Mus musculus: one gene and its partner. The protein of the gene in region 2 purifies or fractionates together with the protein of the main gene of each other region. This does not show direct contact. Links are inferred from orthologs where the notes say so. Each region holds a gene or a part of one and is shown on either strand. Other genes may lie near its edges.

What was found.
Region 1: the proteins of Stradb (region 2) and Cab39 purify together in Homo sapiens (affinity purification with mass spectrometry; 3 studies listed by BioGRID and IntAct, counting the BioPlex papers as one, with this or other methods). This does not show direct contact. The link is inferred for Mus musculus from reciprocal best matches to the Homo sapiens genes STRADB and CAB39.

The regions. Positions count from the first base shown.
Region 1 is NC_000067.6:85,792,250-85,796,240, forward strand, and holds the start of Cab39 (calcium-binding protein 39), read left to right. Parts: upstream 1-1,191; 5' UTR 1,192-1,572; intron 1,573-1,639; exon of another isoform or gene 1,640-2,725; intron 2,726-3,107; exon of another isoform or gene 3,108-3,224; intron 3,225-3,991. UniProt on the Homo sapiens protein: Component of a complex that binds and activates STK11/LKB1. In the complex, required to stabilize the interaction between CAB39/MO25 (CAB39/MO25alpha or CAB39L/MO25beta) and STK11/LKB1.
Region 2 is NC_000067.6:58,993,072-58,995,622, forward strand, and holds the end of Stradb (STE20-related kinase adapter protein beta), read left to right. Parts: coding exon 1-66; intron 67-489; coding exon 490-532; intron 533-1,221; coding exon 1,222-1,365; 3' UTR 1,366-2,051; downstream 2,052-2,551. UniProt on the Homo sapiens protein: Pseudokinase which, in complex with CAB39/MO25 (CAB39/MO25alpha or CAB39L/MO25beta), binds to and activates STK11/LKB1.

The DNA.
Region 1 (3,991 bases), about 27 Mb from region 2:
AATCCAGAATCTACCATAATTATAGTATAGCCTGAGCTATACCCCCGAGCCCTACTATAGGGTGTCAGCAACCCCCGTCTACTGTATTTGTGGAATTCCTCCGGCCCTTCACTCTGATCTTCATATCGCAGTAACAGTGATTACGACTTTTTTTTTTTGAGACAGGGTTTCTCTGTGTAGCCTTGGCTGTCCTGGAACTCACTGTGTAGACCAGGCTGGCCTCAAACTCAGAAATTCGCCTGCCTCTGATCACGACCTTTTTAAAACGCCAAAGCCTGGCCCTTTCCTGCTCCAAATCCTATGGATAGCTTGCTTCTCTCAAGTATTGAAGTTCTCACAGGAGGCTCACATCGCCTTGCTTCCTTCAGGAAACCACTTCCTTAGCACACTGTAGCTGTCCAAAATCCTGTCCCATTGTTAAGCATATAGCAAAGGAGCACACATGTAGCATTTTTGAGTTCCAGACTCTGTCATTAGATCTCTGTAATGCATTATTTTATTCCTCTGGGTGTGTGTTCATGGCACTTGTTTCTCTCTCTCTCTCTCTCTCTCTCTCTCTCTCTCTCTCTCTCTCTCTCTCTCTCTCTCTCTCTCTCTCTCTCTCTCTCTCTCTCTCTCTCTCTCTCTCTTTCTTTCTTTCTTTCTTCATGGAACTTGCTTCCCTATCTATCTATAGGCAGAGTTTTTCACACAGCCCGGGCTGACCTAAACCTGTGAAGTCTAGGATGACCTTGAACTCCTAATTCTCTTGAGTTCACCTCCCAGTGTTGGGATTACAGGCATGCACCACTAAAATCCACTTTGGAAAAAGTAGGATATGTACCCTTGTTGGATCTTGTTTCTTTGGAATATTTCATCACTTTTTTTCCCCTGTCAGGAGATGCCAAAGTGAAGTTACAGGTTCTGCCCAAGCATGAAAGAACCCATTTGAACAGTTTTGAGCCCTCCGCAGATGTAAAGTTTTAAGACTTGAGGAAGTGGACTGTGTTCCTCCAGGAACTAGCAAGTAAGGGGCGCATAGACGACGACTCCAGCTCCCCTTCTGCTTTTTCTCAGTGCCCCCAGCTCTTCAACTTGCCGGCGACTCAGGCGTCCCGAGTCCGCCCGGCCGTCCGGGGGCGCCCGAGTACGCAGAGGGCGTTGCGGCGCCGCCCGACGTCCCGCCTTCGGCGGCTGCGCAGTGCGCACGTCAAAGCCGGGCTCAGGCCGGAGCTGGGCGCGGGGCGCCAGGAGCCGCGCGGCCTGAGAGAGTCTGGGGCTTCAGTAGCCGCGCGAAGGCTGAGACAACCTCAGAGGCGAAGGCAGTGCGGGACCTCACGGCCACAGCCGCAGCCCTACCGAGCGCAGCACCGCGGCGGCCACAGCAGGAACCCCTGGGCCACCGTCCGCCCGCGCAGCCGCCGCCGCCGCCGCGGGAGCCCGTCGCCCGGAGCAGCTGCGGGCGGAGGACAACGGAGGGCCGGAGCGTCCGAGCCGCGCCGCGGGGACCGAGCGAGCAGCCCGAGGCGGCGGCGGCCGAGGACGGGGACGGAGACGAAGCAGAGAGGGAGCTCCCTGGCCCGGCCCAGCCCGGTGAGTGATCCCCCGGCCCGGCCCTGCTCGCGACGCGGACGCCCGCCGGCTTCCGCCCGACCCGCCTCCATTTTCCCGGGTGGCGGCGGCGGGAGCGGCCCGGAGCAGCCGGAGCTCCGGGCGCCGCCCTTGTCCTCGCCCGTACTAGGCTCCGGGGGCCTGCCGGCCGGGGCTACAACTAACCGGGGTAGAGCTGGCCCGGCCAGCTGTCACTCCCGCCGCTCCGGGGACTCCGAGCACCTAGCCCTGGGCTCCGCGTAGCCTCACTGTTAGCGGGACGCTGACACTATCTTTGTAGGGGACCTTTCAGGAAAATGCCTAACTGATTTCTGGCTAGGAATTGTGCGTTCGGCGCGTTCCCGGGTTCGGTTGGAGCAATCCAAAACGCCGACTGCGTGCCGGTGCCGGAGCGACTCCGAGGTGAACCCGGCCGGGAGGTGCCCTCCCCTGGGGAGCTTTAACGCGGTGATGTGAGAGATAAGACGAGTACACAAATAGCTAAGATACCAGGCAGGAGGGGGATAGATAAGTTCCGTTTAGGAACTACCAATTGCTAGAAAGGTGCTCCGGGGTGACTGGACCTGTCGATCGTTTCCGCCTTCCCACGAACCTGGGAGGCTTCCTGGGCGAGGCGGTGCTAAACCGGGTCTAGAAGACTCGATTGGATTCGGGAGAAGGGGGTTGCAGTGGAGAAGGGCGTGGAGGGGCAACAAAGCTGGAGGACAAAGGTACAAAGAGCATGCGAATGTTGCCAATTCCATCACCGGGTGCCGTGATAGGTGGGGTAGACTAAAGAGGCATTTGGAGTCAGATCTTTGAATGCTGTAGAGGAGCTGTTTGAACGACCTTCCACGGAAAACTTAGAACTCATTTTTCAGTGACTCATGAGGCCGGAAATGTATGCTAGGGCATATTAAAGGCGCTCTTGAGAAAGACAGGCGAGCAGAGAAGGCCACAGTCAGGACTTAGCATTGTTTCCTAAATATAATGCAGTTTGAGGTCGATTTTGACAGCTTCCGGGATATTTAAGTAAATCTATGTCCAAGCCAAGGAAAATACCTTTTGTAGAAAGTGTCACTAGATGCGTGCTTATCTGAAGTAATTAAAAGAGGTGCCTAAATTAACCTTCTCTACACACAAGGCATTTGCGTTGGTGAGTTCTCTAAAATTGCATCAGAACTTCTGGATCCCTGTGTTGGAATTGAACATTAAACTGTAGATTTATAAAAAAAAAAATAGTAATAAGAACTGAACTGTTAACAGTCTAGACAGACAGTTGGACACACACCATTTTTCTGGAAAAGTAAAAAATTTCTTGTTAATTTTTAGTTATGAAAATATTGGAGAGCCAGAAGTGAAAGTTTTTAAGCTCTATTTTACAGGTTTAAAAAAATTAGCAAGTAATTAGTAACTACTAAATGCTTACAATATATGATTTGTAAGAATTGCCTTAGAACTTACTATTGGTTTTGTAAGTGCTTATATGTACAAGGAAATCATACTTTTTTTCAGTCTTACATTTTTCTTTATCAAAGTAAGATCTAGCTGCTGCTGCTGCTGCTGCTGGTGGTGGTGGTGGTGAACGCTTTTAGCCTCTGCACTTTGGAGACGGAGGAGGGCCAGGCCAGGCCAGGCCAGCCGGCTAGATCACAGTAAGAGACTTTGTCTTTTTATTCTAATTTTTGTTTCTTAAAGTAAGACATACTCTTTGAAACATGGAAGCAGTAGTCCATCTCTCCTTTCTCCCCCACCCCATCCCCATCTTTTGAAACAGTGTAGCTCAGGTCTTCCAACCTGTCATCCTCCTGCATTGGGTTTCTAAGTGCTAGAATTACAAAATAGACTGGGAATTTTTTTTCTTTAAGTTTTCTTAATCTTATCACTTAGATTTTGTTTCTGTAAACATTTTTGCATATTTCCTTTCTGATCTTTTTCTGTGTATATTTTCCTAAAAATATATTAAGTACATTTATTTATATATTTGTTTATTTATTGGCATTTTGAAACAACCTCTTACTCTGGCCCAAGTTGTCCTGGAATTTGCTGTGGAGGCCAAGCTAGCTTTAAAATTCCAGATAGTTCTCCCGACTCAGCCTCCTAAGGGCTGGGCATGAACCAATAGAACCAGTCTGAAAGTTTTCTTAAATGTTTTATTAGGCTTTTACCTGTCAAGGTTGCATTGTTCCCTTAAGGCTTCTTGTTAGAAGTCTGTTTATTAGCTTCTCATCAAGGTTTGGTCCTGACTGCTGCTTATTGAATGTATTTTGGTTGGTAGAATACATTTATGTGATCGCCAGGAGTGGAGACGGGCACACAGACCTCTGCTATGTGAGCAGGAGTACTTTTAGTAGGCCACTGAGGGGCTGGAGAGGTTAAGAGTGTGACCTGCTCTTGCAGAGGACCTGAGTTCTGCTGTTGT
Region 2 (2,551 bases):
AAAGACGTTCTCTCCTGCCTTTTTTAGCTTGGTGCAGCTGTGTTTGCAGCAAGATCCTGAGAAAAGGTAATACTAGTCACCTCTAAGTAGCATAAAACATACGTGCTTTACATCTTATAGTAGTTTTACGATATTACTCTTCCCATAAAATTAACGTATCTTGATCAAGAAACTTAATCTGAAGAGTGTCAGTGCTAAGAACAAGTCCAAGTAATGAGCAGGTATGGAGAGCAGTTGGGCTCCTTCCGTGGCCATGCCACGCCCAGCTGAGCTGCCTATGCCACGCCCAGCTGAGCTGCCTATGCCACGCCCAGCTGAGCTGCCATAAACAAATCAGTTCTTAGTGTGTCTGTTAAGGCACCTTTGGAAACTCCTAAGAAGTTAAAACAGTTTTGTGTGTGTACATACACACACACACAAACACAATAATGTACACATACACACATTTTCTGATGTTAGATTTTCTAATAACTTTTCCAAAAATTTCAGGCCATCAGCAAGCAGTTTGTTGTCCCATGTATTCTTCAAGCAGGTGAGCTGGTCCATTATCCATTGTTTTAAATATTTTAAAATATTATTTTTAAAGGCCTTTATTAGTTGGCTTCATAGGACACTTGGGTTACAAAAAATTTAATAATAACTTCCCTATAAAATAGAATTAAAATAAGAACATTTTTAGTAGTTAATTTTAGGCTTATTTGTGTGTGTGTGTGTGTGTGTGTGTGTGTGTGTGTGTGTGTGTACATGGTGTATGTTCATGAATGTGTCATAAGGACACTTGTGGAAGTCACCCTCTCACTCCATTGTGTGGACCCCAGGATAGAGCTTAGATTTTCAAGTACCGGTGTAAAACACCCTTGGCACCTTTGCCTGGTGAGCCATCTAGTGGCCTTAATTATATATAGAATATTTAAAAGATTTTTATTCTTCAAAAACAAAGCAGTAAAAATAACATATGTTACACACACTATATTTTCATTAACTTAAAACTGGTGTCTGTCTTACCTAGAAATAATGGCAGGGCAGAATAATTCTGCTTAAAATTAGTTTATTTAGCTTTTAAGTCTTTGGTTTTCTCGATTGTCAGAACTAGAAGCATTTAAAAGGAAAAGACCTAAAAATAATTTTAAAGTTTTAAAATTTCTTTAAAAGTTATTTATTGCTTATAAAATTTGTGTTGAGTCTCTGTGCCCATGTCACTATTTTAAGTTTCTTTAACAGATGAAAGAAGAAAGCCAGGATTCCATACTTCCCCTGTTGCCACCTGCTTATAACAGGCCATCAGCGTCACTGCAGCCAGTGTCGCCGTGGAGCGAGCTGGAATTCCAGTTTCCTGATGACAAAGACCCAGTGTGGGAATTCTAGGGTTGCCAAATCATTTCATGTCCTCTATACTTGACAGCCTCTCCTTGCTGCTTGTCTTCGGTCCTGTTAGGTACAAATGACAAATCTATACTTGAAAATACAGTTGGTGCACTGGAGAATCGATCAGTTAAACCACTCTGTTCATGGGGCGTGGATTTACCCTCTCTGCCCAGATCAGAGCACCCGCACGACTTCCTCGTCAGTTACTGCCCAGCTCAGCTAGTGTCCGCTCGCCCGCCCTTCCGCACATCCCCCGCTTCTTTTCCACCTTTTAAGCTGTGACTGGTACTTTCTGGATCTCAGTGTAACTTTTGAGCTAGTTAATTCTCTTCTACATTTTACTGTTCTCTGGGGAATGAACCCTTCCTCGGAGGACACTGCTTCCAGAGCATCTTCTCTTCCAGATTCACTAGCCTTTTTGATCAGCTATTGGTAGATGAACAGGCTGGTTTATTCTGGTATAAAGCCCTTTTTTGGAGAAGGGAAAATGTTTGTACTATTCCTTTTACATATGGCAACATCAAACTGAGCCTTGCTCACATTAAATAATTCACTTGAACTATAAAGAGAAGATGCAATTTGCATTTTAAAGGGGAAGGGGCTAACAACACTTTTCTACCTGTGTAAATTATAGATCATTAATTCATGCACCCTGTGGGAGCTCAATAAAAATGTATAAAATTAAACATCTCTTTTATATATTTTGTGTGGCTTAACAAAACTAGAACACAGATTCTAATTTGGTTTGCTGAGAGAATCTCTTTTTTACACATAATTTACATAACATGGTATAAACTTCAGGCAATCTCCTAGAGACAAATGGCATGTTGGCCTTTTATATGCTTGTTTCTGTAGTGGGGTAAACCTTGAAGCCCATGCTGTTGTTAATGGCCCTGCGTCCCTAGCAGGAGATATTGTGTTTTAGTTACATTTTTGTTGCTATGATAAAATCCCACAATCAAAAGAGTTGCAGAGGGCTAGTTGTCCTTACTGACAGAGAAGGCAAAGCAGCAGGAGCAGAGAGCTAAGAGGTCCTATCTCAGCTACATCACAGGAAGCAGAGAGGGGGAACTGGAACTGGGGCAAGCCTACAAGCTCTCAGAGCACCCTCTGCAGCGTACTTCCTCCTGTAGGGCAAAGAGCATCGCCGAAGAGCTGATCACCAACACCAACTAGGTGTTCAGAT